7 linked regions of the Kluyveromyces lactis genome follow. The protein of the gene in region 1 binds, or shares a complex with, the protein of each later gene. Links are inferred from orthologs where the notes say so. Each region holds a gene or a part of one and is shown on either strand. Other genes may lie near its edges. The genes, in order: NUP145, NUP82, SEH1, NUP2, NUP188, NUP120 and MLP2.

Region 1 (5,266 bases):
GAGCCGAACATCGAATATCTCCGAATGCGATCTCAATTCATCTAAAAGTTGCTCAACTGGGATAGTTGGGCAAGCAAATAACTTCATAATATTCATTGACAAGTTTTCAAAAGTTGAAACAGACGATGTATCAACAAATGGATTTGATATAGCATTCATAATCAAATCTTCTAGAGTCAATGAATCGATATCTCCATAATATACTTGTAAACCTAAATTCACTAACCGCGAAAACTTGTTACTCTCATTTACCAACGCAGTAGAAGCGAAAGGATTGCCAGTGAGTAGTTGATAGATACTAATGACTGTTGGATCCACTATAGAGCCTAAAGATTTCCATTTAGTTAACTGTAGTTGCGCGATTTCACGAACAATTGGATCATTGGACCCCAGTAACGTTATCAAAACAGATAAATGTTTGTTTTTGGAAATTATAGCCGTCTTTGAAGCATTTACAATGTCGTTGACAGAGAGGAAAAGAAGTATTTTCTGAATATCAGAAGCAGTGGATAGCATAGAATCAATCTCAGCCCTTGTTTCATCGACTATCCATCCACAGAGCTTTGCATGCCGTTGTTTTTTAATAAGAACTTTTTCAACTTCTGGGGAATTGACAGCGTATGGAAGGGAAAGAGGATCAAACAAAATGGATGCTAACTTCAATATTTTGTCTTCATTTGGGACATCAGAATATGCAGAAGCAAGATTATCGAACTGTAAGGAACATTTCCCAACAAGAGGATAACCATTTGGTCTGGAGTTGACTATGGATGTGTTCAGATAAGAGGCGAACACATTGTCAAAAGAAGATTTATTTATTGGCAAGTTGGACTGAAACACGATCTGCTTACAGCCTGACAACTGTGATGGATCTTTGAGCAATAATTGCCCGTTAATATTAAACTTCGCAAACCACATATGTGAGTTGATTCTTCTTTCTCTTTTAACAGATTGGTATGTCAATAAATCTTTCTTAAATGAAGGGAACAAGATATCGTCCAAAGAATTACCTTGCGTGTTTTTGAGTAAAAGTGGCTTGGAATACACAGACTGTTTGGAAGTACCTGCTAATTGTAATTGTTGCAACCAGTTCGATGATGTAACAAGTTTAGGTGCAGCCTCGAGGATATTCAAATCATCTTCGTCTAAATCAGAAGGTTCGTAAGGTTTTTCCTTGATAATAAGTGACATGTCTTGGTCAACAGAGTCGGATAGTACTGGAACCAAATCTAGTACTTCTTTCTCCATTGCAAGAGCCTCTGCTGCTGTGAGGTCTGCATTGCTTGGTACCTCCGCTTCAAGGGACGTGCTAGACTTCTTCACACTGTGGCGACGCTTGGGAAAGGCCAGAGGTCTGTCTCTTATTTCCTCGGCGTTTATTCTTTCTGCTTCTTCAGCATCCACCTCCATATCTTCTTCATTGACCATTCCCCAAACACTGAAATGTTTAACTCTAAAAGTCCAAATTCCACCAAATGGGTTATATGAAATGAATTCCATTTCTTTCATATTCCTTAAACGCTTGACAAAATATTGAACTTCAGCAATTTTCGAGTTGTCTTTAATGGGTTCTTTTGTTTTTTTATCGATCGGATAAACATTTTCCAAAGTTATTGTAGCAGGTACATTGACACCATAACCAACATCCGGTTTATTTTCGGTATCAGGATAGACTTCCACGGTTCTATTCTCATTAAAAATTATTGTTCTTCCGAATAGTTCTTCAAAATCATCCATAAATGCAGTTAAGTCAACTTCATAGTCAAAACTGATGGAACCAAAGTTTTTGCGACCAATCACAAAATTGGGCACAACCGTGAGCTGGTTTTCCGTAAGTTGCTCTAATTGTTCGATAGTAGGTGAGCACCAATAGTCAGTTGCTTTATTCGTTATTTTGTGTTCTTCATCCAGACAGACTTCCGAAGTTGGCTCTGTTGGACTAGTTTCTGAAGGATGTGCTGAAAAAAGAAGTTTATCATTCCTTGGTATACTAATCTTATGATCTTTCTCGTCCATATCTTTCATTATGGTAGCGGAAGAGTGACCGTTAAAGAGTTTCATCTTTTTGGCAGCGCTTCTGTCTGTATCAATGGTTAATTTTTTCATGCTTGAAACGTCCTGGTTAAAATAAGAAGCCAGTGAGTTTGTCTTATTGTTAATATTCTTCCCTTTTTCCTTACTCTCATCTCTTGAAAGTGCCGAGAAAGTATCCTGTTGGGCTAAGTTTTTATTTGATGGGGAGAACAAACCATGTGTTGTTTCTCTGCTCTTCAAATTCTTAAGTCTTGAAGTTAGCTTCCCTATCAGTGTTGAATTGCCTGTGGGAGGTAATATATTGTTGCTGATCACTGATGATGCAGTTGAAAATTTTCTATTTTGTTTCGAGTCTGAGACAGGCTTTCTCTCGTTACTCAGGGATGTAGTAATAGATTCTGGCATTGACAGCACAGGATTTGGACTTAATTGCAAACCGTATGGGTTGTTCGTTGGGGGTTGGCCAGGTTGCTGTGGCTGTTGTAGTTGAGAAACATTGAACAAGCCTGTTGAATTTGTAGTTGGTTTGCTGGACGAGAATAAGCTCCCTGAACCTTGTGTTGATGAATTTCCAAACAGTGAAGTCTTTGGGACTGTTGACGCCGTGTTCGTGGTATTATTAGAAAATAGACTATTAGTTTGCGATGGAGTATTTCCGAAAAGTGACCCACCATTGTTTGATTTATTACCAAATAAACCACCACTCTGTTGCGTATTTAATCCGTTTGATTGGAACGTATTGTTTGTTGTCGCACTGGGGTTATTTCCGAATGAGATACCAGTAGCTGTCTGTTGTCCACCAGAATTTCCGAATAGCTTGCCAGCACCATTGTTCTGCTGGGCATTCGACCCTGGGCCAGAAAATAATGATGTGTTGGGCGTTGATGCAGCGGCGTTATTAGGCTGGAATAGAGAATTCGTCTGTGGTGTATTCTGGGAAGCATTGTTGTTTCCAAAAAGATTCAACCCAGGCTTGTTGTTGTTGTTCTGAGCATTGCCAAATCCTGTTGGGTTTCCAGGGCTCGGCGTGGAGAGTGTATTAGCACTAAACAATGTGCCAGTATTGGGTTTTCCATTCAAAACCCCATTGTTCGCTGGTGTAGAAGTTGTAGGTGTTGAGGTGTTCGCGTTGCCGAATAACGAACCAGGCGCTTTGTTATTACCAAACATAATCAACTTGTTGTTGAATTTATGATGATGATGTTTAAACTGTACAGATTCAAAAATGACAGCAGTAACAAAAAACTGAGAAATTTCGTCTGCAGCAATGAACACCAGCTATGGAATTGGTTTTTAGAAGCTCTGCGATCAATGATAGCCAAGTAGTGCACTTGTTAGAGTTCAAAAGGTGTTTTGTTTACACTCATCTTACTGTTTAAATGTTATAGAATAACAATTTTTTGGAATATTGCCATTCGAGAGAAATTTAAAGAAATATCGTACGAAACTATATACTGCGTAATGCCTAAAACTTGCGCTACAAAAGCTCGGATATCCATATCAAAGAGCTATATTACAATTGGAGAGCCATTTAAATACCTTTTCATATTTCTTTATGAGATTAGACGTTAGATTTCTTGCTGTTTTTTCTTCGCCATAGATAATATTAACATTGATGGTCGCATTTTTAGAGTGACATATCAAATCAATAAACCTTTCCATAGGCAAAGAAAGGGCTACTTTGCAATGATATTTATAGTCCAAATGCTGGAATGTGACATATTTGATCTGAGAATTCTGTGATGGGGCATTGACGGTTGCCGGGAATACGAGTTTTAATTTTTTGAATTCTGAAATGACAATTGAAAGATCTATCAGTTGACGTTGCAAACTTGATATGCACTGTAGTCCATTTATGAAGGTTCGCTGGCAAGAGTTGATCCAACAGTTTATAAATTCTCTTTCAAATTGGTCTATTCGTTCTTCTCTAATACTGAATGAAATACATGACGGTTGATCAATTTTTGAAAGATCAGCTGTCACAATAACTTTGTCGTCATGTAATGATACAGATAGGACTGGACCAACTAACTTTCTGAACTTTATACCAGAAATGCTTTGGTAAAGCTGATGGACTAGTTTAAGCTTTGCCACATCATATTCTGTGCAAACTTTGCTTTGTTTCAAGTCCTGTCGAAGTTGAGCAATCTCTTCGTTCACTTTACTCATCTCCAATTTTGCATCTTGTATTTTTTGGGTAAGTTGATCTTTTTTAGTGGTCAGCTGGTTCAAGTCTGACACCTTTAGCATGTTCTCCCTCAAGTCTCCTTTCAATTTGTTCACTTTCAGGAGAGTCGTTATGTTCTCTTTCTTGTTACTAAAAACATCGTTGTGCTGCCGAAGAACATCAAGTTCTTTCATTAACACCTGTTTGATGTCACTAACTCTTATTTTCACGTCATTTATTTCATTCATGTATTTCATGATCTGGGCATTTTCATCCACCAAGATAGCTATATTTTCTTCCAGGACTGTTTTAATTCCTTTCAAATGTTGTGATCTCCACTCAAACCAGACTTTTTCAGATTGTAATCTAGCCATTATGGTTACTAATTCTAACTTTTCGTTAATAGCATAACGGGTATCAGTATCTGCCTCAAAATACTCTTTTATCAACCTGGGGGGTTCGTTGGATGCAATCTGCTCTCGAAGACTCTTTAAGAGATTCCTTGATTGTAGAATTCTTCGGGTTAGTTCTTTTGCGGTGAAAGCTTGAATCTCTAATATTGGAATCTTACAATATAACGCTTGGTATATTATATTAGATGGGACATGTTCGATGTTATTCGTACTCTTAAGATCGATTTGAAATTCGTTTATTTGGGTATCAACGTTGAATTTTATATTAGCAGCATCAAAAAATGTCTGCAAGGAGATTGGTCCCGATTGACTTTGAGTGTCTGATAGAACATGTTTACTTGTTTTGGATAGTATGGGAGAGCCGACATTTTTTGGTTTTGGTAAAGAATTTGTTGCCAACGGAATTGGCGATAATCGTTCCATCTCTGTGAGCTCCGCATCTATATTCTCTTTTTGTTCAGGGGTCTCTTGCACTTGCACTGGTACCTGCAATTTGACCGGAGACTGATAACCACCGTTAGATAATTTCCTTCTTTTTGACTGCGGGAGTTGAGTTGGTTCTAGTTGAGTTGAAGAAACTATCTGTGACTCTCGCATCTCCAGAGGAGCCTGCACGTTTGTAAATTCCATTGTTTCCTCTGTAATTGCTGGT
Region 2 (5,014 bases), on another chromosome or scaffold:
GTTCTACACACTCTTTTAAAATCACATACATCAGTCCTATGGTGGTTAAATGTAGTGACTTTCTTGTCCGTGGGTTTCCCATTTTTGAGAAACAAAGACGAATCAGAGAAAATGGTATCATTACTCTCCGTGTCCTTTTTGGCCTTGTCCTCGATAACTTACAAAATATGCTTTGCTATTGTTAACGGGGATAAAGTCCCAAGCGGTCTATACACATTCGCACTTAGATCATGCGCCATGTATCTAGCTAATGAAAATGCTACAGAATCAGATATTTCACAATGTTTAGTGCCTATCGCTCGGATTTTCTTCCAAATATGTGGTGTATCTATTATAATCCTTCTTTTCATGAAATACGCCTTGAATAAAAGCACCAATATGTTAAACAAACTACTGAGTGTTATAAAATTCGTCTTGTTGCTCCAAACTTCATCTGCAAATATCCCATTGTTTCTAATATTTGAAATACTGACTAGCGTCACACCGGACATCACACCAATTTTCTCATTATGTCTACAAAACCTCACTTTTTTCCAATTTGGTGGTACGAACTCCATTGCAACTGTCAATCTAACTAATGCATACAATGGTGTTAGTAGCAACTATAACATATACGTTGTTGGTGTATTAATGTTCTTGTCTAACTACGCACCATCCATCTACTGGGCTCTCTCACTAATTCCTCAAAGCTACAAACAGAAGACACTACGCTTGCAGCATTACTATATCACCGGAACATGTCTAATGATAGCGTGCATTGCACTAAGGTACCACCTATTCATTTGGTCCGTGTTTAGCCCGAAACTATGCTACTACGCGGCCTGGTCCCTCTATAATGTCGTCATGGATTTCGCCATTACCCTGCTTGGCGTTTTGTGAATTCTTAGTTTTTGAATGAAAAATTTCGATAAAATCAACATTTTGTACCATAGAAATTCAAATTGGACTGTAAATGATCATGAACTTTGATAGCCGCAAGGCAGGACAAACTTGCCAAAACTTATTGTTGAGGTTCGAATTGGTATCGGCAACCACATACCCACCATAACAAATCGGTTATTTTTCATATTATATAAAGAGAGAAATGTTGAGAGTGACTCGCGTGCTATTTAACCAAGTGAAAAGCGAGGCATCTGGCCAAGCTGCCAAGATCGTGTCATCATGTCCAGCTGGCACTCCATTGAACTTACAAATCAAGAAATCCGGTAAGGAACCCGTGGCATTAGAAGACAGCGAATACCCTGAATGGCTCTGGACAGTGCTTGATGCCAACGTCCAAGCTGAAAAACTAGCAGCTGATCCAATCAAGCTAAGAAAAAAACAATTAAGGATAGCCAACCGTGCCAACATCAAACAAAATAACTTCTTAGCAAAGATTTAACGGACCCACAGTATGATTCACGCCTGTAAATATATATACATATAAAAATGACATAAAGACACATATCTAACATAACTTTTTGATATCTTTCGTACACTTCCTTTTCTGCAATACTGGATCTGCTATAGGTATTTTTTTTTTTTTACTATTAAAGTTCAAAATATTCAAAATATATCGACGATGAACTACTCTCACGCTTCTTGAAATACACGTAACACAGATCAACTGGCGATCTAACTGTGGTACCTTCTCTTCCATAACTTTAACTGCCGGATATTGAACCAATATAGTGGGATGTTACTCTTCAATACAGAAGATTTGAAGGCAATCTTCCAGGAAGTGTCTCTGAACCCTTCCGACCGTCTTGTCTGCAACAATTCCAACACTATTTATTTATGGCAGGACAACATCTTAAGAGTGCAATCAGACCACGAAACGCAATACAGGAGTTATAATGTGGAGCTTCCATTCGTTCCAGAACAAATGGTCATCAGTCCGTCGGGGGGCCTTGTAGCATTTCATGCGAACAGCGAGCTCTATGTCATGGAAGTGAATGAGCAATCTAGATTAAGAAAGCATTTCAATACCAGTCTAGGGATAAAAAAACTATTATGGCATCCTCTGGCTACTTATGGGTTATCTTTCGTTATTTTGCATGATGATAGTACAATTCGAATTTATGATCTTGAAGACCTAGAACCCGAATCTATCACTGTTTTCAATCGTAAATCGAGATCATTTGGGTTATCAGACCATGTGGAATCAGTTTGTGACATTGCATTTGATCCAACCGGTTTGACACTTTATCTGCTGAGCTCCTTCAATTACTGTGACATATATGCTATCCATCCGTGTCTACCAAAGAATTTTTCCCTACGCAGTAATGATACATCAAATGTCACATCAAGGACGAAAAATGGTTCTTTAGCGGATTACATGTTGCACAAATCATTGTCTTTATACAATAGCCTCGATAAACAGCTAAAGCTGATATCAGGTTCAGATCCTGATGTGGAATCCGATTACCTCACCTTAAAGCATGATCTATTGAAACAAATTCAATTTTTCGACAACTATAAAAAAAATGATGGTATAGACACATTCACGAGCAAAGCAATCAGGAACTCTGTACCACAGGGCCCGTTCATTATAAAAAAATTTCCGACAGCTTTGAATGCGAAAGAGGTCACAGGCTTGACAATCATACCGGTTGGAGAACGTTTGGGCCTTTTGAATCTTCAATTTATAGATGGAACAAACGTTGTGTTGTTCTCCGATTCTGAAATTGTCATGAGTTGGAGTTTACGCTCCAATACTACATTCAATAACCTTAGTGTAATAACAATGTTCAATGCAAAAGGTCAATGCCAACTACTAAACTCCTCGGAACCTAAATTAGTATTTACTGGTGATAGCTCCACGACTATCATGGAAATGCCATGGTTGGAACCATTGGCACAGTGCATAAGGCTTCATGACTTCTCTATCATTGATGATGTTAAGTTTGAAAATAAAATAAGAACAGTTTCAGGAACTTTCCTCGGTGTTTTATCTACCTTGTCTGGTGATATTCTTTACAACGGCAATTCCTTCAAGGTCATCGAGAGTAACGACAAGAGCACCACACAGAAACCCATAAACAGAACCGATGAAGTGAAATATACATATAAACCATCGTTGCCAACGTCTGGAAAGGAATTGGATATGCTTTTGACGAAGTATAAAACAGAAGCCAATGGATTCATTTCAGGCATACCGGACTCTTTGGCTCCTCTCCCTTTGAAGAACAATTCCAATGAACGTCAATTGGAAGTGGTTTCTGAACTTTACAAGGAAACCATGAAGCGCGTCAAGTTGGGACAGATGATTTTATTTAGAATGTTCAACAAATCCAACGAAGAAGTGGCTGAACTCCATCGCCAATTAAGAAAAACCAACGAGATCGAAATGTTGAGAAATAAACTTAACGGAAACTTGGGAGACCTCCAAGAAAGATATTCCAGGTATGAGGAAAAGTCCAAGACGTTGGAAAAACGACTTGACAAGTTAAAAGAGACATTCTCCAGTATAGAAAATAACGAGAAATTAAGAACAAGCAGTATCAGCGAGGCCGAACTAGTGTGGTTCAAAAGTATCAAAAACCAGGTATTAAAGTTCAATAACTATGTACATCTGACAAACAAACTTCGCGAAGAACTAGAGTTTTTGGACACACAGCTTAGATCAACTACTAAAGGAGACGATTTCTTTTCCGAGCTAGAATTTAGTTCCCTACAACAAATGTTACTGAACGACAAAAAGGTCATCAATTCTTGTATGAATGAGTTAAGCGCATCCATTGAAGATCTAGCGGTATAATAGCAATCACCATCTACATATCTTTTTTTTTTCGTTTTTAGTTTTAAAACTGGCATATACCTTACTATATTATGTGCTACTTTTTATATCATTTCATTATGTGAATATGCTACTAACCGAATTTTGTTTTAACGTGTGAATGGCGCTCAAAAATCGGTGACTCTTCCGTTGAAAGAATAATCACCATGCCTTAATGGATCCTGCTTTGGTCCACCAATTTCTCCTGTTTTAGGATTCTTTTCGCCTTCGAACTCTGGTATAGTCTTCATAAATTCTGGAGAAAACCCACCAATATCGTTCTTCAAGATTGGCGATTTCACCGATTCCATAGTATGATCCGATTCAAACTGTGCATTATAAGAATCAATAGCTTCTTGAGAAGACGCTAGCTTCTGCAGCCTTTCAAACTCTTCCTGGTCTTCCTTTGGTAATGGTGGTGGACCTGCTCTTCTTTCTTGAAATGTTCTAATTTGATTCAACCTGACAAAGGCTGGTCTTAGACCGACTAATCTTACACTTTGTTTTCTTATACTGGAAAGCATGTAGGTTGTATGTTATAGCGGTACCTTGTTGAGAGATGATCTGCAAACGAAGTCTAAAAGAAATTATCAATATAGATGAATGCCATTTACGCAGACAGATATATATTGTAAAGATGATATATGTATGAAGAATGAAATATCATCGCTTTAAATCGGGGTGAGAGGATAATTCGGTAGTCATCGGTGAAAAGAAAGAAGACAGGATGATAAATTAAAAGTCATGTGACTGAAATAGAATATTACCCGGGAAAACACAGAAAACTGTGGCGTCTAGACAAAAGAAATATGATTCACGTGACTGATGAGCAAGAACCTAGAAGGGAACCCAGGATATGACAAGAGACACAGTGTTGCAGGTATTCAGGTTTATATCGCACCGGTTTTCCAATCATTCGTGATCGATTTGAAAGCGAGGTAATATTGATGGATTGGCTGCTATCTGGACCACCTGTCGCCATTGGGGGGAATCTGATTTTTAGTGTTTGCATTTTGCTGTTTGGTGATATTTTACATGTATATATATACATTGTCAGGGCTGCCCTTTACTTAATTGATGTATAAACATCTAATCTCTTTGATTTATCAAAATTAGATAAGAAAGAAGTTCAATTGTATATATATGTATATTCTTATTGGAAAGGCTCTCAGAAGGAATTTGGGATCCCTGAATTAAATCAAGCAGAGCTAATTCTTTTTGTCTTTTGTATATGCGAAGATTCGGCATTAGAAGTGT
Region 3 (3,718 bases), on another chromosome or scaffold:
AAAACAACTTTACCTTCTAGCTGAGTGAATGGGAATGGTTCGCCCTTTTTGTCCTTTGGTGCTAATTCGTAAAACTTAGACATCTTGGTAATTGCTGCTGTTCTTTTAATATATGAAAATATTTTGAATATTGGATATAGCTATAGCTTATTCAACAGTATATACCAAAATATTAACACCAATATCAATCAGAAACGATTTTAGGTGGACAAAAGTTATATTATTTCTGTATTGAAATATCGGTCTTGTTTATATAGAATCATTTTTTTTTTCCCTGTTTAATTCTCTATTACAAAGAATATTAGAAAGCAGAAGTGCTAAGGAACGGAACCAACAATCAGGAACAGCAACGGAACGACAGATTTATCGGCCGGACGATGAAGAACTGTACATTCTGGTAACGGCGTTATAACAGTACTGTAGGTATATCATATAAGATTTTATGATGACACCGGGTATATCTGCATCCTATAAGATTTATAGATTAGTAAACTGTCAGTGTTTATTGCTATGTGTCAAAGCATGCGGAAATGTTCGTTTCTGATGCAATGTATTTCATGTGATTACAAAGCAACGGCTGGATGTGTGCAATTTGGGGCTTAGAACTTAGAATTGATCGGTACATGATAAACTCCAAGCAGGTGAGAAGACGGCTTTAAACCACCAATGTGGCGTACCTTTTAGCTATAAGGTTTCTATTTGTCAGTGTTTAGATTGAATCTCGAACCCTTGATGATATCTGGTCACGTGGTCAATAATTACATACATTTTAACATCACATTATGAAGGGATATATACATAAATCACCTTGCCGCTTGTACCACACTCATACACCTGAACTCGTTCGAGTAAGATGCTTTCCATAACCGAATCTTACCATCATCTCCGGTACTACTTAGGATTGTACCTGTGAGATTCCAAGATACGGACCATACCTCGCCCTGATGGTCTGAATGTTCGCTGATCAGCTCGACGTGAAGGTTAGCCACTGATCCATCTGCATCAATGGCGGAGCTGTCAATGGGTGGGCCATCACGTTCTATGTTTGCATTGTTATCGTTTTCTTCGTTTATAATATTCGTACCGTTGTTACGCGATTCGGTTACTTTGAATATTCTTAATTTCCCATCTTTGCAGCCCGTAGCGATCAATTGGTACCACCTGCCCACTGATGGTGCCCACGCAATGGATCTGATTAATCCAGTGTGACCCTTCAAATGTCCTGCTGGGACCAATTTTCCCTGTTTGTTTCTTTGGTAGATAGTTGCCTGATCCATGGCACTGATAACTAATCTTTCTGTTGAAAATCTGGAGGGACACCAGGACAGACAAAAATCCGATTGTAGATGTGATGCAGGTGGAGTATTTAAGACGGTAATCTCGCTTGTCAGGGTCCATGACCTAAGATCGGAAGACTCTAACGCATCATAAAGACGTAACTTACCATCATTCCCCAATGCAGCTAGCCTTAGTCCCAAATGCGATGGAGCAAATTTTACGCTGAACAACGGTCCTGTCGCATCGTTCAACGTACAAAGTTTTTGCCAACGCTTTCCGGATAACTCAAGGGCATCTGGATCCTCCTCCCATAGTTTGATAGTCTTATCGTATGAGACACTCGCGATGATACGACCAAATTCTGGTGCGGCCCAATCAAGAGACACAATACTGCTATCGTGAGCCTTCCAACTTTCGCTCAATTCCCACTCATTCGTTTCCTTGTCTAGCTTGAACACCTTGATATGTTGGTCGCTGGAACATGTTGCGACTCGACGACCGTAAAAGTCATAACTAATATCGTGCACTAGGTCTGAGTGTCCTGTCAAAAACGGTTTCATGATGATAAAAGATTTTATCGGATTTACCACTAGATTGGTCGATAGAATAACTTCAACCTTCAAAGCCGTGAAGTGTAGATATCTCTCAACTCAGCTCAACTCTCTTTCCCTCTATCATGCAACTTTTAGCTTTCGTTTTCGAAAAGTTCGAAGTTCAATGTTTAAAGGATTCATATATATCGAAAATCAAAACACAATAATTTAAGAAAGCGCTTGGCATTTTAAATGCTAAGCTAAAAAAGTGCTTACTGAAGCTTTATATATAGCCAGTACCAGCTCAGGGAATGAACCATGCTTTCTTATTTTTTGCTACTGTTTGCTATTGCAATAATTGTATATTTTAAAGATGTATCTCCTATCGGATCTGCAGTAGGGTTTTCTGTAATTGGCTACGTGGCAGTTGATGTATTGATCCCACAAGTAGGTGATTCCTTCATCAAGATTGGTTTATTTGGCAAAGATATGAGTAAACCTGGTAGGCCAGTGATTCCAGAAACAATTGGATCTGTATCTGCTACAGTGTATTTGTTTATCATGTTCTTTTCGATTCCTTTCATGTTTTACAAATATTTGGTGATAACCTCTGGAGGTGGAAATAGAGATCTGGTTTCTCAAGAATCGACGGAGGAACAGCTATTCCCACATAGTAAGTTAAGTGAATTTTTAAGTGCACTTTTATGTCTTGAATCCACGATATTACTAGGTGCTGCTGACGATTTGTTTGATCTTCGCTGGAGACATAAATTCTTCCTACCAGCAATTGCTGCGATTCCATTACTTGTAGTCTACTATGTTGATTTTAGCGTTACCCATGTTTTGATCCCTAAGTTTGTACAAGAGTTAATTGGTACAAGCAAGACATCCATTGATTTAGGCGCTTTCTATTACTGCTATATGGCTTCGGTCGCCATTTTCTGTCCAAATTCAATTAATATATTGGCTGGTGTCAATGGACTTGAAGTTGGGCAGAGCATTGTCCTAGGCCTAATATTTATGATTAATGATGTGTTGTATTTAACTATGGGTGTGAACGGACATGCTCGTGAATCACACCTATTCTCACTTTTATTGATCGTCCCATTCCTCGGAGTCTCACTAGCATTGTTCAAATGGAACCGCTGGCCTGCAAAAGTATTTGTCGGTGATACTTACTGTTACTTCGCTGGTATGGTTTTCGCTGTAGTCGGTATTCTTGGACACTTCTCGAAGACTACGTTACTATTCTTTCTACCACAAATCTTCAATTTCATCTATTCAGCTCCACAAATATTCGGATTGGTGCCTTGCCCAAGGCATAGACTACCGAAATTTAACGAGAGTGATTGGCTAATGTACACATCACGAGCAGATCTTATAAAAGAAAAACCGAAGCCAGTAATGCAACCGATATTGAGACTTTTGCACAAATTGCGATTAATCGATTTGAACATCGATCCCAAAACAAATACAATTTTAGATTGCAGTAATATGACGTTAATCAATTTAATGATTGTGTGGTTTGGGCCTATGAGGGAAGATAAGCTATGTTACTCTATACTCGCGCTGCAATTCATTATTGGAATATCTGCGATATGTCTAAGACATTTAATTGGATCACTATTATTCGGGAACGATAATTTATGGAACATCGTTTAGTGTTGTTAAATATCCAAGAAAGCTGTATCGATAGAAATGAAGACAGTTTCTCCCTACTTATAGATCAGATAGATGAAAGGAAAAGACCCCATCATATTATACCTCATTTTTTTTATTTGCGTTGGTTTTATTCTATAGTACTTAATATTTATGAATATTCAATCAAGATGCTGAAATAGTACAAATGTCTATTTATAAGATCAAATGAAGAGGCTACATGATGATGTTACAAAGATAAATATATC
Region 4 (4,897 bases), on another chromosome or scaffold:
CAAGTGTCTCAAAGCAACTCTGGCCAAGGAACCACCCAACTTGAATCTGTCAACCAACACAGAGACGGAAACGTATCTGTAGGTTGGAGCTTCCTTCATAATTCTGTCGAATTTATCTTGGTCCAAGACAACAGCGTGCTTAGCCTTGTCCTTGTGGGACTTCTTAGACCACTTCTTCTTGGACTTCTTACCACCAGCCATGGCAGCGGCGGCCTTAGCGGCTTTGGACAATTGTTGTTTTGGAGGCATATTTCTGCGGAAAAGGGAACGTTAAGTTCGGTATTGTTAGTAAAAAATTGATTCTTTATGAAGAGGGGTGTAGTGAGAAGTAGCACATCACTTAGTAAATTTGTCGCAAGTCCGACTAATGACGAGAGAATTTTTCTGATAGATAGCTTGTCAATTTGAATGAATCCTTACTTTCCAGCAAATTCACCCAAATTATAGAATCTGGTTTCCTAAGAAATATTTGCTGGCAGTTCCATTGGGCTATATCACCAAATAACAAAAAGCTGCATTATTCAGTACACTTTTAATCCTGATGCCATAGTACGATGATCAATACAATGTTGGAGAGAAAATTATCAATCCGTCCACAAAATATCTCTGGTAAATGTTGTTTCAGTATAACTGGTGTTGTTTCATTTGTCATCACTATCAATAAATTAACATTAGAACCTCTTCCTGATTCATATATCTATCTTATTCTTGTATAATCCTCGATATCAGACCTCGTGCTGGTTTTATTTTGTTATCTCTTTCATCGTAATCCCAAAAGTGCTATTCCAAATAAGTAACCACTGCTAGTACACGGCACATACGTTCAAATTCCCTTAGCTGGTTTCTTCTTGAATGAACTCAAAAGTAAATAACCCTATAATAATCAAGGTGCTACTTTAAACAACTTGTTAATATCTCTAAGTTGCAATTCAATGTAAATCAAAAAATGAATATTCAATCCGAAGTGAGTTTGTCCAGGACGCAAAGTATTCCTCTTCCTACCGGAGAAGCAGAGAAAGTGAAGCAGGATAACGAGGATTGCGACAAATGGACTCATTTTGGAAAGGAGATAATTTCCTCTTTAGGAAGGAAATAACGCATGAGAAAATATACAAAGTTCAACTTTCGGATATATAACGTGGTGTCTGGATCCAACAAAACAGTCCCGTAATACAACATTAAAAATAAGAGCGCTATAAAACAGATGTTTCATCTGATAGATTAGCAAGTTTTACACCAACAAGTCCTACATGGTGTTACGGCCATCGTACTTGCCACCTGCGTCAACTAATGAGGTAAGAAATCATTGCACGTGTGTCGGTTATAACGGTGGCTATTGCAAATAATCCCTGAAAGCATAACAACGTTTTATATTCCGATATAGTGTAACGGCTATCACACCACGCTCTCACCGTGGAGACCCGGGTTCGACTCCCGGTATCGGAGGAGAAAGCGATTCGAAAGTTTCGCTAAATACTTTTTACATTTTTACTCCCCTGAGCAACCCATCACAAGCAGAATAACATGTAGTCACGTGTTCAGCATAAGTCATCCCACACGAGTCAACAGTATATTGAAGGATTTAGAATTTCGAGCTGCTTTATTATTATTTCTGGTGTTAGTATCATCAATTCTCATGTTGATGTCTGAATGCTTACACATCAGCAATCCTTAAACTCCTTTTCTGCTACTTCCGGTTGCTTCCCGTTAGTTCAATTCGTTTCTGATTAAGAAAGTGACTTCTCTTGAGCTGATCTTTCCAAGCACAATACTCACTGTAGGATATGTCAAAGAGATTTGCGGGTTCTCAGATGACCAGAGAAGGTCTTGAGAACGGACATAGTAATAATGTTTCAGATGACGAGACTCCATTTGATAAACCTGCCGTTGCCAGCGAATCTGTAATGAGTACCAGAAAAATTGCAATGCCAAAGAGGAAAATGGGAGGATTTACTGCGGGTGATAAACCTAACATGTTCAAAGTGATAAAGGATGACAAGAAACCTCAAGGCACTGACTTAAACGAAAAACTCACGGCATTGAACGTGCAATTCAAAAATAAAATAAATTCTACATTGGAATCAGATCCAGTTGCTGATATTTCTTTCCTGTTCGATAAATACAAGACCTATTCGCAACAGTTAAGGTCAGAAGCGAAAACTAATGGCGCTGCAAACGCTCCTCCAACTAGCTCATTCACATTTGGTACCACATCAGCAAATGTGGAGAAACCTAAAAATCCATTTGCATTCGCAAAGCCTAGCGCAGCACCATCATTTGCTCTACCTTCGGAGGTGACTAAACCGACAACGACCGTAACGGAAGAGAGACTGCAAGATAAAAAAGAACAAATTGAGATTAACAGCGATAGTGATTCTGAAGAGGAAAAACCAGCCGTTAATGTTGAAGGCCCAAAGTTTGTCTTGGCTAAGAAACCAACGACGTCTGATCCGCCTTTCAGCTTCGGTGGGAATAAGCGTAAGGAACCTGACAGCGATAGCGACAGCGAGATAGAGATCAAGGGACCCCAATTTACGTTTAATGGGACTGTATCGTCCAGTGCCTTTACTTTACCAAAGAATGATGCTTCAAGGACAGAGGAATCTGAACCAGCTGAAAAACCAACGGATAACAAGCCAGCTAGTATATTTGGGAACTCTTCACAATCTAAACCAACATTCCCTCCTTCTGCGTCCGCACCATCCATAGAGAAAAATGAGGGAAGCAAACCAGCTCTTCCTGCCTTTGGGTCAAATAAGGCTGATAATGGTAATTCATCATCTCCGTTCTCATTTTCTTTCAGCAACAATAAAGATTTGGCCAAAGAAAGTGAAAATAAAAAGGAAGAAGCAAAGCCAGCTAGCACCTTCGGTACATTCTCTGCCCCTGCTCCATCGGCGGACTCTAAACCATCGTTTAGCTTCTCTGCTCCAGTGCAAAGGACAGCAACTGAAAACAAAGATTCATCAAAGCCTTCCTTTACATTTGGAGCTATGGGCAAGGAAAACAGTAATGATGAAGCTAAAAAGCCTTCTTTCACATTCGGTACCTCAACAACCTCTGAAAAACCGGCTGAGTCATCTAAACCTTCATTTACATTTGGTAAAGCTTCAACAGGCTCCACTCCTTTCACTTTTGGAAAACAGGAGACCGACAAAAAAGATGAGAAAAAACCTACGTTTACGTTTGGGGCAACAGCAGCATCAACTGTACCAGCATTCAGTTTTGGTGCCAACAAATCTGAAGAGGCGCCTCCACAAGGTGAATCATCTGGCTTCAAGATCTCTTTACCCTTTGCCTCATCTGCTCCAACATCTGATAAGGATACTGCCAAGGAAGTTAGTGAAAAAAACAGCGAAGACGCATCTGCTGAGGCACAAGAAGAGCCATCTAAAACTTTGAATCTATCGAACGGTGAGGAGAATGAGAATCTACTCTTTTCGCAACGCGCCAAGCTAATGATTTTCAATACTGAGACGAAAGCCTATGATTCCCGTGGTGTAGGTGAATTGAAGGTTTTGCAAAACAAGGAAGACAATACAAAAGCAAGAATACTTTGTAGGTCAGACGGTATGGGTCATATTTTGCTAAATACTAGTATTATAAAGTCATTTTCCTATGAAGCATTAGATCCAAATAATGAGAATTTGGTTAAGTGTCCTGCAATTAAAGCGGAAGGAGGGTTAGACACATACGTCGTAAAAGTGAAACAAAAGGCTGATGGTAGAAAATTAGTACAAGCGATCAAGGATGCTCAATCACCGATGTAAAATTAAGTACATTTAACTGTTAATTAATAGAACTATTTGAACTTAGTTCATATATGCATGTGTAACTATTAAAATGGCAAAAAAAAGTACTTAAAATAGTCAATCTTCAGCACCTTTGAGCTCCTCTTCTATCAGTTTTTTGAAAGATGCAACTGCCCAAGACAGTCTTCTACTTTCTCTATCATGTTCTTTTGAGCCTTTCATACCTGAAATATACTTGATATAATCAAAATGCTTAGATATAAACCATCTTAGCGCTTTTAAAATAACATTCTTATTCTGAATGTTAATACCTTTCTCGATCAAAGAAGACAAACCATCAGAGTTATACTCAAATGTTTTCTTTCCATCTCGTTTGATCTTTATTTCGGCTGCCTTACCTTCGGAAAGGAACAACTGGAAAAGCAAAATATCAAAGAAGATTATTCCATCTGAGTTGAGTCCTGCCATTAACGGAACATGCTTGAAAGCATCAAGTTTCAAGTGACCTTCTGCTATTAAATGGCCAAAGAATCGGCCTTGCTTAGCCAATCTTTGTAATCTAGTGTCTTCATCAACAGTGTCTTCATTGCTGAACAAGGTATCTTCCTCATCATCTGAATGTGTCTCAAGCTCGAACTTCTTCACAATTTCCCAGAATAAAAACTGGAAAGACTTTAAAAGTTTGTGGTTATGCTCTGAGAGTTTTCCTGCTAATAATGAATAATATGGATTGTATCCGGACGATGTGCCATCGTTTGACAAGCAATGTAGCAGCACCCGTGAAATATCAAGACTCTGTTTACTCTTCAAGTTCAGCTTTTCTATCTTAGCGAATGCATCCAAATAATCCTCTGCAGACATTATGCTAACGAATATAGCTCTTCTCACATCAGTGTTCATCCTCTGTTGTTTCGCTATCTCATTCCAATCAATCATTTCAGAGAGTAAATCATCATCCAATTTTATATTTGTTTGATTAGCAATCGTTCTGTCTTCTTTGACATTAGCCTCATCGAAAGCAGTTTCTTGATTACCCTTCCATGATGCTCCAATTAACCACCACTTACCTTTAGAATCCACGTTTTTTATATCTTCTAGAGAAGCCAGCAAAGGCTCCGAAGATGCCGAAGTTGAGATGCGAAGTG
Region 5 (3,577 bases), about 720 kb from region 1:
GACATAACGAATCGCTTTTTAAGTTCTGACTCACCAGATGTAAGAACAGTCACTTCCATACTGCATGTTCTATTATCCAGCAACTCATTGGAAGCACTCTCTATCGGAAATGAAGTCTTTTACAATAAGTACAACCAATGTTTGCTGAAGTCTTATGAATTAGCAAACCTTTTAATCTCCGTCCGTGCAATGTTACAATTACCTCCCAGCACTCTGGAATCACAAATATATGGCAACTTGCCGAAGTTAATTGACATTTACGCCTTACACAATGATTTAAGAAATCCAATAATCAAACTCATGACGCACCTTGTGAGAGCCCCTTGGGCCGAAAACTTCCCATCTCTTTTATCGTATCTGGGCCAAAAACACTCCAAGATGATTTTCAATTCGATCTTGTACGACCTCGCAAGTACAATCGATGATTATCAATTTCTGAAGAGTTTATACAGATTCTTTTCTTCCGTTATGGAAGGAAAGCAGGATGGTTTCTCTATTCTTTTAGTTACTGGCGAAACCATATCCGTTGGCTCTTCCCCAAAAAAATCAGAACCATCGAATAGCGCCTCTGAAACATCAATTCTTTCTCTCCTTAAGAAAAATGTCTTGAAGCTAGATTGCTACCCGGAATCTGTGGCTTCTCGACTTCTTGAAGCAATCTCATATGCATTCAACTCTTGGGCTGCTGCAAGGAATAATACAGCAGATAAAGAATTTATAGATTTTCTCGTCAAAAGGCTAGAAAAGTTCGAGGACAAGTTGGCTCCCGATTCGGTTGAGGCGACGATTAAATTATCCAGTCACTATCGTCTTCAAGCGAGGATTGCTGAAATATTTGCCCTTCATCTATTCACCTCTTCACCTTCAGATTCCACCATAACAAACATGTTAAATGGACCCCAACTTGTTGATATCGTTAAGAGGATATTTTCTATAGACGGATATGATAAAACTCTTCATTTGACTCTCGCAGAGGAATTCAAAAAGATTTGGCCTCATCTGGATATAGAAAAATTCGCTATTTCACCACTTTATAGAATCGGTAAGGCGTACCAGGCGAACATATATGACATTGAACTTCTTGATCAGTTCTTCTGTTGTGAAGAAAAATGGAGAGGGAACGGGTCCACTCCAGGGTTTAGAGAACAAGTTATAAAAAGCTCTATCAACTTACAATATGTGTCTTTCCAAATTTCAGCAGCAAAATCATGGGGAGCTCTTTTGACCGCATTCATTAAGAAAACTCCAAAGCCTTTACAAGCTTCATATGTCGATATTGTTACCCAACTACTCGCACTAAATGTTGAGCATGGTGTGGAGGCACCTATCTTCTCTGAAATATACCTCCTAAGAATCGAATTGGTGTTTTACATACTGTATTCATTCTTACAAACTTCTATGAAGATACCTGAGGATAAGCTTGAAACTCTATTGTCACAGCTTTTGGCAATTTTAAAGTCTAAAGAGGTAGATTACCTCGGAAATATCGCACAATCGAATAAGAATAATCAATATAGACCTATTCTTCGTTCGATTTTGATGTTGTTAACTTTGGCAAAACCTTACCCTATGTTTTCAGAAAGATATTCTGATAGTCTATTGGAAGTCTTCGAGTTAGCTTTTTCAAAAGGTGTTAATTTGATCTTGTCTTCTATATTATTCTCATTCACAATAGCCTCCAACAAAGGTAAAAAAGTTATTGTGCCAAATCTTGCCGACAAAATTCAAGATTTGTTACTATTACTATCCCTTTTCACAAAAATCAAAGAACTGAACCCTTCGACATCCTTTAACGCTGTATTGGCATCCTCGCTAAATGAATTTGGAACCTTAAAATCACTTTTGAATCTTTACTACAGTTCATATCTTTTCAGATCTCATGATGAACCCTTATTCGCGGAGCTAACCCTGTCATTCATTTCTGAGCTTGTCACAATTGAAGAAGTTGCACAAAAGATTATAGATAACGGGCTCTTCTCTGTGTTCTTGGAAAGTCCGATTTCGGTGTCAATTCAACAATCTGGGGCTCGCCCAGAATTATCACCAAGATTGCATAACATATGGTCCAATGGCATCATATCGATTATTCTTCAACTATTAAGTAAATTCGGATCTGGAATACTTTCGGAAGTGTGTCTATTTGTTTCATATTTCTCCAAACAAATAGATCTTGCTGTGGGGGGCTGGTCGTCTGACTCACTGTCCATAACTCAAGCATATATCCAGGAGACTTCCCAGATAATTCTTTTGCAGAAAATGCTAGATAAACTTGAATATCAGCGTTATTTGTCTGTTAATGGTTCCAAATTGAAGGTCATTGACGAAGAAGAGATAATAGAGTTGTTCCCTGGTTTAGACACTAGCTCTGAGAGAAACGATTTGGCAAATGTATTGAAACATTTGTTAACTCACCCAAAGTATATGAATTCTCGGATCATCGCGACAACCCCAGACAAACAAAAGATGATGGAAGATGAGGTCTATAGAAATCAGCTTCTACATTCTATCACCAAGCAAATCTCAGAACTTCAATCATCCTTGATGTCAGATTTATAAACAGGTAGGTTTATATAGTATTAATATTATTTAGATAGAAATAATTTTCTGAAGTCATCATTGCTCAACTTTTTGTCATTTTGTGACGCTTGCTGTGATTTAATTTCCTTTACAACAGCGTGCTTTGGTTGATTCAAGGTTGTTTTGTGTTCATTGGGATAATGAAGGGAAAGTTCATGAGCAGAAACACATTTCAAAATTCGGTTCTTGAACTTGTATCCATTGATTGCAAGTGAAACTTTTGCGGTAATTGCTTCTTTGTCCGCTATTATTAAAGCACCTTCATGATCAGAGACCAGCAAAACCTTCGTAATATCCGGAGGTCTAATTTGAGCTTTCTCCGTAATGAAAGCAAGAATTTGATCTGGGGTAATCTGATCAGACAATGGGTATATTCCGACAACTTTTGGGTTTTCTTTTCTGGAAGCAAGCAGACGCTTCACCTCTTGTCTTTCTAGATAAGCCTTTCTCATAACTTTTGAAACGTGTAATGGCTTACCGTTCATTACCGCTCCATTTAATGACAAAGCATTATCTGCACTCGCTTTGTTTTTGAATGTTATGAACGCATATCTGGAATGTCGTCCAGGGTTTGTTTCATCACCAGTTACTATTCTAGCTTTTTCTGTATCACCAAACTCATTGAACATCTTTATCAAATCATCGATGGTAATATCATCTGGAAGGTTCTTAACTATTATCTCTCTACCATCCGATATGGCATTGTCAGTCCTTTCAGTTCGTTCGTTGACATTCGATATTTTCGCTACTAATTTATAATTGTTGATCTCTATCCCATTGAGCCTATTTGTAGCTTTCTTTGCCACTTCTGGAGAAACTAAATCAACATATGCAAATCTTCTTCTTGAATTGAACGCTAAGGACGGCAATCTAATACTCAAAATTGGTGAATCAATGTACTGCGATAGTAAATTTCGAAGCTTGCTGGCATCATACCCAGGTGGAAAATTGGTGACCCAAATCGTAGAATCTGTTAGCTGTTCGACAGTTATCTGATGGA
Region 6 (5,034 bases), on another chromosome or scaffold:
ACTATCGGTGCAAGAAAACATTAAAGAAATAGTGTACCTTTTGAAAAGCCCGCCAGTAACAGATCAGTTGGAATCATTGAATGATAAAGATGATTCGGTGAAAAAATTAGAATCCTTGAATTTGTTTAATGTCAACAACTCTAGCATTCTCAAGAATGGTACTGATAATAGAACCGAAGTTAAAAACGAACATAAAATAAGTAATTCGCAAGTTGACGACGGGGATCTTATCATCAATGATAAAGAGGCCAATAGTACCAGCAGTGATGTCCCAAATATCACTCTAAACAGGGATTGGAAAGATGTCATAAATTCACCCCCAGGAGATGACGTTTCTGATGCCGAAACTGTAATAAACACAAGGCGATCAAGATCATCGTCCTTGTTCTCAACACAATCCAATGAGATGCTCAAATTCCATACTTATCGTTTCTTACAGTATCATTTATCTTCAATTAGCAAATTGAAGCTTCTCGGAAACAACATGCTATCTTTTGGCTCAGATGGTTTACTAAAGCACTGGCTCATTGAACCTAGTTTGAACTCTAATGAAAAGGCAACCAAGGCGTTTCACTGTGTGCCTAACCTCTTGGGTATTTTTTGGTTGAATAAAACAAGGTTTATGACTGTGGATGAAACTTCCGTCAAGTTGTGGAACGTAAGCCAGAGCGACCCTGTCATATCTTGGGATGGCCTCAAGGATTTAGAAGGCTTACAATCTGTAGATTTCAAAAATAAATGGCTAATTTTGACTTTCGTTAACGAGATACGGGTCTGGGAAATTAAAATCGATGACTCCAGTATCGTTAAGGTTAATGAATTCGTCATTTCAGTCCCCAATAAGATTCTCAATTGTTTGTTGGGATTAACGGAAAAATCGCTTATAATATTAAATGGTAGTTCAAAACAAAACGTAAAGATTTCTATCTTCGACTTTCAAGGCTCCCTTTTACAACAAATCGATCTTTCTCATTCGCTGACCCAATTCCATCACACAAATAATGAATTAGCATTGAACAGGTCGACATCAAAATTGCTTGTGAGATTCGATACAGAAACTCTGATTTACTCTTTCGATCAGAAGAAGACCATTTTAGTGTCTTCTACCGCAGAATCTGCTATTTCCTCGATTTTCCTCAATGATTTGGAGTACACTGTCACCGCTTTGAAGGATGGTTCAATACTCGTGAAGTCAATCAAAGAAGATGGTAAAGTAATTAGAAAATACAATCATTATGAACACCCTGAGAAGGTTCCCGCTGAAGTGCAACCAATTGCCATTGCATCCACAGTCATAGATGATACCCCTGTAATCGTTTCTGGTGGCTATAACGGTGTGATACGACTAGAAAAAATTATGAGCTTATGAACGCAATGCTATAGTAATCAAAGCTGCCGCTATAATTCAAAGAGAAATATAGGAAAATAATCTATAATGCTCATGTAAAACAGTACAAGACGAACGTCATCGTCTATAGACATGGTATCCCCAGAGTACCTATATAATCCTCCTCACAACATGGAAATTATTGCCCAAGCGACCTTAAAATTCAGTTATAAGTTACCCGGATAATATTGTTTTCATGGTTACAACAACAATGAGAAAAGACATGTTGAAATCAATCTGACATGAAGTGGAATCGGTAAACAGAAGAGAACAGCCACCAGAGAACTTCAATTACAGGCTAAATCGGAACATAAACCTACAACATTACTATTGAACAGCTGAGAGGTAAAGCTGAAACTGCGAAAAATGACCAGCTTTTCTCGTCTGAATACAAATTTACTACAATTAAAATCGAAGCACTCATCAGACAATGCCCAACATTTATACGTCAATGGGAATGTTGGATCATCTACAGAAGAAATAACTTCCGTAGAGTACAGCAAACTGTTGCAACTAAAATTAATTGATGAATCGTTGTCCTTCCAATGGTGTAATAATTACACTGTTTTGAGTATTTACTCCATGAAGGAAACTTTTGCAAGGAAAACCATATATATCCACTTTCCAAAACCTCTTCTGAACAAATGGTTTACTGCAGTCGTATACGAATCTAGTGAAACGACCTCCAACCTATGTTTTGATGTGATTTTAAAGGATGGAATTTTCATCAACCTTTCATTGCCTATCGATTTTATTCTATCGAGAACTCGTCAAAATGAGTATCCTGAGAATTGGTTGAAGGTTTTAAACCCGTATGATTTCTCAGTACGTCCTCCACAGTGTCTATTTCATGTTGATAACACCTTCAGTGTAGTATTTCTAAAAGATGGTGGTCTTTTGGGGTTAAAACGTATTCCGCTCGAAATATTAAACGATTTTGAATTGCAACCTGTCCTATTCAATGATAGTTCATACTTTCAAAGTTTTACAAGAATGTTTTCAAAGTACGATAACCACAACTCTGCAGTGGTATCTGCAGAACTTTTGAATGACAAGTATCTTGTCACATTAACGAATGATGCAACCATTAAAATCTGGGATTTAACCACATATCAACTAAATGCGCATTTCGATCTAAAAGAGAAAAACCAGCAGGTGAATTATGGAGCTGCCGGAAAATACATGATAATTTGTGGATCTCTCCTGTTTGTATACCTACCTGCAGGTAATGGATCGTTCCAAGTCATTCAATTAGAAAATACGCATTCTTCAAGAATCTCCTTCAAACCATTAAACGTTAATATACCTCTCAATCTTTCATCTTATTCAATATGGTCTTTAATTGACATTCAATTAGTAAAATCCTCAATTGTCAAACAATCGGGACTCAACTTGGTTTTATTATGGAAAAGTAACACAGTGACCAAGCTACAACTACTCTCCTTCGAAGACTCTCTGTATAGTAGCTACAAATGGATTGATGGTAACAGCACATACCTCTCTGATTTGCTTGATGACTCAGACCTAATAACAAACGGAAATATGGAAAAGGCTCTCCTCAATCTCAAGTCACACTACTCACAATCAACGTACGATGACGCACAAAAGATACTGAATAAAAATAATGTCATGGTGCAGATAAATGATCCTCATAATCAAGATTATTTGAATAATCTAGAAGCTCTTTTGAAAGAACTTCATAAACAATATCAGGAGCCTTCAACTCTAACTATTCTTGATGATGAGATAATTGTTGTTAACAGCTTACACATGTATCATCATTCCACGTATAAGTTAGACTCACAACTTGAAACAATTTTCTTTAACATTTTTGAGAGAAAGGAACCCTCGTCTCAACTAGAGCTTTTCTTAAATATCCTGCATGGTTTTTCAACAACCATTACATCTGAAACGTTAAATAAGATATCTGAGAAGTTCTTAGACATGGTAAATGGTTCAATAAATCCCTCGTTATCATTGAAAAATAAAATTACCATTGTCTTTCAAGATTGTCTAACAAATGGTTTCCAAAGTGCTAATTTATCAAAATTGTTGGAAAATCTAAATTCTATTGATGTGGTGGAGGTTTTATCCGAATTTATACACTGTGATTTGAAAGTAGGTGCTTTTTCAGTTATTGATTTATTAGATACTGACATTTTCTTATCTGTTTTGTCTATGGAATCCTTGAAGCAGACACTCTCCATTATGGATAAGTTTATCATTGATATATTGTTAGTATTCACTATTGTGGATATCAACTATGAAGTTTTTGCAGAGAAGTTGTCTAAGTTAATTACCTTGCACTTCAATATCTCATTGTGGCTCCAAGTGTATCAAATAGATAAATTATTGGCAATTTCTGAGACCTTCGGTCATGTTACTAAATACAATTATGGTGCACAATTGAAATCTTACAGCGATATAACCGACTTTACTACATTAATGGTTGGTTTTGTCAAGAATTCTCCAACAGCTGAACCTCCAATATTTACAAGAGCCTTTTCCGATTTCATATTGAACGGCGAAGATTTGACTTGTGCAAAGCAATTCCTACACTTTGTTGCTAAGCCTTACCATGTGTCCAAGGATCCAGTAGAAGAACTACTATATGCTCTTTCTTTGTTCAAATGCAATGAATATGATGCATCTATTGAAATATTCTTGGCAAATGACTTCTCTGATGAGCTCTCACTACCTAAATATCTGGAGGTTACTGAAAATCACGTTTGGTACAATCTCCTTCATGCGATCAATACAAAAGATAAACCAGCATACTATTATGAACTTTCAGTTCTATGTTCCAAAGCTTCATCGTATGCTAATGCTTTAAAAACCATCAAAAAATCTATATCACTTGATGGTACAAGAGCAGATCAGTTGATACAATACTTAGATACATTGATAGTATTTGGCGATTATAAAGAAGTCCTGGATGTATTGAGGTTGGAACAAAAAGTCCTTGATATAAGCCTAAGAGAAAAATACTATTATACACTGCTGAGTGATCAAAAGTACAGTGAAATGTTCACTGCAACTTTACTCCAAGAATGCTACAATGCAAACATTTCCAACGGATCCATACTATTATGTGTGAGTGATTATAAAATTATAGCTTCAATTTTATCATCACAAGTTTCTCTCACTGATTGGAACAGCTATAAAAAGTTGTTCTCTTTCAGAATACTAAATCAACATGAAAGGAAAGCGTGCGAGGAACTATATGACTATGTACTCTTCGGATCGAACGACGAGGTTAAAGAAAAGTGCCTACTTCTAATATCCAATGTCTTAAAGACATTTTCAGATGCTAAGGACCAATGGTTCATCAGCTATCCAGGACAAATTATTCATTTACATGAATTGAATGACAAAATGAATAAGTGTTCAAAGTAGATAAACATATATATTGAAAGCTTTGTTTAACCTCTATTCATTGTATTTCCGCTTCCTTTAGGATTGGATTCGGTGAAGTCATCCCATGCTCTTGCTTTATATGTAGCAAGATCATTGGATTCAAAGTCATCCTCATCAGGTTCTTCTTCTACGGGTTCTGCCCCACCTTGAAGGACCCTGTTCTCTTCAAATTCTTTTGCCAAAAATTCTTCCACCGTCATTGTCGGTCCATATTGACCATATCCAAAAAC
Region 7 (4,003 bases), on another chromosome or scaffold:
GGTGTTAATTGCGCAACTTCAGACACTCCAACGTGAGAGAGAAATGTTACTCAAGGAAACTCAGAATTCTTATAAGGAAAAGCTTAGAAAATTGGAAATTGAGTTGTCTGGTTCACTCGAACGCCTTGAAGAAATTGAAAAAAACACCACAGGAATTGCTAGCAATAAAGAGCATCAATATAATTGGTTTCAAGAAAAGATTGATAAGTTAACTAGTGAGGCAGCTCAACAGAAAACGACCTTAGAAGAAAAAGAAGCTCAACTTCAGAAAATGCAATCCACTATCAATGAACAATCCGCAAAACTCAAGGAGGCCGAGGCACGGGCACAATCATATACGATGTTAAGTAATGTCGATGATGCTCAAAACCTAGTTGAGACTTTGAGACAGGAATTGGAAAAGGTTAACTTGCAACTTTCTGATTCATATTCACAAATAGAGCATCATAAAACTCTGGCGGAACAGTCCGTGCAATCCGTTAATGAAGTAAGCCAGGCCTTTGAAGAGGCCCAGAAGGAATCTCAGAAGACAATAATCACTCTAGAAAACGAAAGAAATCAATTACAGAGTACTGTCAATATTCTCAACGATCAGGTGAAAGACCTGAATAACGAAATTTTCCATCAAAAATCAGAATACCAAACTGAGAGGAACGCAACAATGGAAGAAATCAGTAAGCTTCAGATGGTGAAAGAATCTGTGGATCGAACTAAGGCTGACTACGAAGAAAAAATTGCAATGATTCAGAAAGATCTAGAAATGCAAACGCAATATGCAAATGAGAGTCAACGGAGCTACGAACTTGAATTGCAAAAGCATGCAGATGTCTCTAAAACTATTACGTCCCTAAGAACTGAGGCGCAAAGCTATAAATCTGATCTAGAGACACTTAAAACCCAATCCCAACTGGCTATGGAGAACTTGAAGAATAGCGAAAAATTATGGAATGAACAGAAGACTGAGTACGAAGATAAACTGTCCGTTTTGGAGCAACGAGTCCAAGAACTATCAACCCAAAATAAGCTCCTGTACGACCAAATTGAATTGCTAAACAAGACTGAAGATCGTGACAACTCTCATGATTCAAGTGACTTGTTAATCAGCTTGCGCCGTGAAAGAGACATGCTAGAAACTAAACTAGAAGTTGCATTGAGCGAGCAAACGGTTCTAAAACAACGCCTTGATATAGCAAAATCAGAAATTGAAGATTTGAATACTCAATTATCTCAAGTTAAGAATAGTTCCAGTGAAAGCGCTCATTTGCTAGAGCAGCAAGAAAATATAATGAAAGAACTTGACCAACTGCACTTGTTAAGAGAAAGTAACGTTACACTAAGATCTGAAAATAGTTCATTCAAGAAAGAATGTGACAATCTAAAGTCGCAATTGCAAGAATGTAATGATAGGCTGGCGCCACTACAGTCGTCCATTTCCTCTTTGCAAAATGGTATCAAAATTAAAGAACAGGAACTCATTCAATCGAAAGAAGAAGCAGAACGGTGGAAAAGCCGTTCTCAAGATATCTTACATAAATATGAACGTATTGATCCTGAAGAACATGGTAAACTAAAGGAGGAAATTAACGATGTTAAAAATGAACTGCAAACTACCAAGGATACTTTGCAAAGCGTCATTGCCGAGAAAGATGACTGGGAATCGAAGTTCCAAAGAATTAGGCTTCAAGCACGTGATAGATTGAATGCCTCCAAGGAAAAGGAACAATCTTTATCATCAGAAATAAACCAAATCAATGAAGCTAAATCTCAAGTGGAGGCCGATTTAGGAAAATGTAAGACCGCTTGCAAAGAGTTAGAAGAAAGATTACAAGTGGTAACGCAAGAAGCAGAAACAAAGGAACAGACTTTTAACTCTCAATTATCTAAATTGCAGGAAGATCTACATTCTATTCAGGTTCAAATGGAAAATGCTTCCAAGACCGAACAGAATAATGCAGATTCAGATGAAAAAATAAAATCGTTGACTGAGACTGTGGAAATGTTAAATAGTAAAATACAGGAGCTTGAAGCCGAAGCCTCCAACGCTCAAAAAATAGTAGCTGAACATCATACGCCAGTTATCAACGAAGACACGAAGTCAATAGTGGATAATTTGAAAACAGAATTTGAAGCTGAAAAAGAACAATTAATAAAAGATAAAGAAAAAGAATTGAGGAGCAAGTTTGAGGCAGAAAAAGAATCTGCTTGGAATTCCAGAGAGGAAGAGCTCCGGAAACAGTTTGAAGAAAGAGAAAAGAGAATTCGTGAAGAGTGCGAAAAGACTACTGTCCAGTCTCCTTCGCAGCCTACCTTGGATATAGACATCGATGCTTTGAAGAATGAATGGGAAAAAGAATATGAGAAGCAGACTCTGGAAAAAATTAAATTAGCAGAAGAAGCCCTCAAGAAACGGATCAGGTTACCTACTCAACAAAAGATTGATAAAATAGTTGAGGCAAGAAAAGCTGTTTTAGAAGAGTCCTTTGAAGAAAAGGTAAACGAAAAGGCCCAAAAATTGGCAGGAGAGATCGGAAATGATGCCATTACTCTAGAAAAGCATCGTGCAGAATTGAATGCACTTAAGGATTCCATGCGTAAGCAATTTGAAGCAGATTTGGCAGAAATAAAACAAAAATCTTTCGAAGAAGGGAAACAGCAAGTTTCCTTGAAATTGAAATTTTTGGAAAGCAAGATCAGGAATTTAGAACAACAAAAGTCCACAATTAAACCTGTAGAGAATGACACTTCTAATATGAGTGCAGCATTCCAGGCCCCTGTATTTGGCTCTCATTCAACATTCACTAGTCCCTTCTCAACGTCAGAAATTTCTCCTAATAAGAGACCCATAGACGACACCGCAACAGAACAGCCTGAGAAACGTCACAAAGAGCCTGAAAGTGATACTGAGGATGGTCAGGAAGCCTGATTCTCCAGACGATTTTATGGCTGTTAATATTACCGAAGTTCTATTTAATTTTTTTCTATTATGTATCATTATTTGACCATTCGTTTTCAACATGTAAAAAATACTAGTATTACTTTCCACAGATATTCAAACGAGAAAACAAAATAATGACATCCCACAAGTAAAGAATGAACGAGAATAGTTACAGAAGCTATCGAGTATAGGTAACAGTGAAGATGCATCATGTCATATGATCTAACTGACCCGAGAGAAATTACGGCGTTCGACCCGTACGAGGAATTATCTGATGATGAATCTGAAATCGAAAGAGGTATGTTCTAATAATAATGGTTACCGAGATCAATGACATTAGAATATCCTACTAACATATTATAACCAATCATTAAATCAAAGTGAAACGAAGAATTGTTGAAATTGACACTGAGAAACGAGATTTAACTAACCGGCTGTTGGAACTAGAGAAGAAGAGAAACCTCAAAGACCCTAATTTCGATTCTATCGACGTTCCAGAGTCTCCTAAGAAATCAGATAATGCTACAAAAGGAATAGAGGATATCAAACATATTGCGCCAGTAGCAGATATAGAGGAAGCTACATTTAATGTTAATGAGGATTATGTAAGGGAAAAGGTCAAAAAGTTGGGTACCACTTCTTACTTTACTGAAAAACTTCGCTCCATCAATACAAATGAACATGAAGCGATTAAAAGGAAGAAAGAATTATTGGCACATCGAGTTTACACATTCAATGGCGACATGTTCGATGAATATGAACCAATTACTGTTGATGAAAAAGATGATTTGAGTGGTCTGGTTATAGACAGAAGGTATGTACCGTTGGCCGTACTTAGGAAACATACTAAAAACATAAAAGTGCTTCGACTTCCAAAGCTCTTCAGTAAGGTGAGAGCCCCTAAGTTCTCTGAACCTGATTATCCCAATTGGTTGGTATTGGGTATCATCTCAAAGAAAACTGAACCAAGAATGACAAATTCTGTGAAACCGGTGAAATTCTTCAGCCTAACCATAAGTGATTTCCAATTTGAACTGAATGTTATTTTCTTTGGGAAAAGTATAGTTG

The links.
Region 2: NUP145 (region 1) and NUP82 share a complex: the UniProt entries of both Saccharomyces cerevisiae proteins name them as parts of the nuclear pore complex. The link is inferred for Kluyveromyces lactis from reciprocal best matches to the Saccharomyces cerevisiae genes NUP145 and NUP82.
Region 3: NUP145 (region 1) and SEH1 share a complex: the UniProt entries of both Saccharomyces cerevisiae proteins name them as parts of the nuclear pore complex. The link is inferred for Kluyveromyces lactis from reciprocal best matches to the Saccharomyces cerevisiae genes NUP145 and SEH1.
Region 4: NUP145 (region 1) and NUP2 share a complex: the UniProt entries of both Saccharomyces cerevisiae proteins name them as parts of the nuclear pore complex. The link is inferred for Kluyveromyces lactis from reciprocal best matches to the Saccharomyces cerevisiae genes NUP145 and NUP2.
Region 5: NUP145 (region 1) and NUP188 share a complex: the UniProt entries of both Saccharomyces cerevisiae proteins name them as parts of the nuclear pore complex. The link is inferred for Kluyveromyces lactis from reciprocal best matches to the Saccharomyces cerevisiae genes NUP145 and NUP188.
Region 6: NUP145 (region 1) and NUP120 share a complex: the UniProt entries of both Saccharomyces cerevisiae proteins name them as parts of the nuclear pore complex. The link is inferred for Kluyveromyces lactis from reciprocal best matches to the Saccharomyces cerevisiae genes NUP145 and NUP120.
Region 7: NUP145 (region 1) and MLP2 share a complex: the UniProt entries of both Saccharomyces cerevisiae proteins name them as parts of the nuclear pore complex. The link is inferred for Kluyveromyces lactis from reciprocal best matches to the Saccharomyces cerevisiae genes NUP145 and MLP1.

What each region holds. Positions count from the first base shown.
Region 1 is NC_006041.1:1,685,485-1,690,750, reverse strand, and holds the start of NUP145 (nucleocytoplasmic transporter NUP145), read right to left. Parts: upstream 3,205-5,266; coding exon 1-3,204. Other genes in the region: kinetochore-microtubule binding complex subunit SPC105, read right to left, coding at 3,535-5,266. UniProt on the Saccharomyces cerevisiae protein: Functions as a component of the nuclear pore complex (NPC).
Region 2 is NC_006042.1:155,334-160,347, reverse strand, and holds NUP82 (linker nucleoporin NUP82), read left to right. Parts: upstream 1-1,675; coding exon 1,676-3,739; downstream 3,740-5,014. Other genes in the region: mannose-ethanolamine phosphotransferase LAS21, read left to right, coding at 1-879; MRPL37 (mitochondrial 54S ribosomal protein mL54), read left to right, coding at 1,085-1,381; SDH8 (Sdh8p), read right to left, coding at 3,886-4,281; BNA3 (kynurenine--oxoglutarate transaminase), read left to right, coding at 4,989-5,014. UniProt on the Saccharomyces cerevisiae protein: Functions as a component of the nuclear pore complex (NPC).
Region 3 is NC_006042.1:649,672-653,389, forward strand, and holds SEH1 (Seh1p), read right to left. Parts: upstream 1,839-3,718; coding exon 804-1,838; downstream 1-803. Other genes in the region: glutathione peroxidase GPX2, read right to left, coding at 1-83; ALG7 (UDP-N-acetylglucosamine--dolichyl-phosphate N-acetylglucosaminephosphotransferase), read left to right, coding at 2,130-3,473. UniProt on the Saccharomyces cerevisiae protein: Functions as a component of the nuclear pore complex (NPC).
Region 4 is NC_006038.1:545,147-550,043, reverse strand, and holds NUP2 (nucleoporin NUP2), read left to right. Parts: upstream 1-1,784; coding exon 1,785-3,770; downstream 3,771-4,897. Other genes in the region: RPS25A (40S ribosomal protein eS25), read right to left, coding at 1-249; SGD1 (Sgd1p), read right to left, coding at 3,870-4,897. UniProt on the Saccharomyces cerevisiae protein: Functions as a component of the nuclear pore complex (NPC).
Region 5 is NC_006041.1:968,978-972,554, reverse strand, and holds the end of NUP188 (Nup188p), read left to right. Parts: coding exon 1-2,556; downstream 2,557-3,577. Other genes in the region: U6 snRNP complex subunit PRP24, read right to left, coding at 2,583-3,577. UniProt on the Saccharomyces cerevisiae protein: Functions as a component of the nuclear pore complex (NPC).
Region 6 is NC_006039.1:1,080,235-1,085,268, forward strand, and holds NUP120 (Nup120p), read left to right. Parts: upstream 1-1,753; coding exon 1,754-4,783; downstream 4,784-5,034. Other genes in the region: FAR8 (Far8p), read left to right, coding at 1-1,369; TAP42 (Tap42p), read right to left, coding at 4,810-5,034. UniProt on the Saccharomyces cerevisiae protein: Functions as a component of the nuclear pore complex (NPC).
Region 7 is NC_006037.1:52,224-56,226, reverse strand, and holds the end of MLP2 (Mlp2p), read left to right. Parts: coding exon 1-2,923; downstream 2,924-4,003. Other genes in the region: MCM10 (Mcm10p), read left to right, coding at 3,146-3,233, 3,317-4,003. UniProt on the Saccharomyces cerevisiae protein: Together with the closely related MLP2, involved in the structural and functional organization of perinuclear chromatin. Together with MLP2, associates with the nuclear pore complex and form filamentous structures along the nuclear periphery.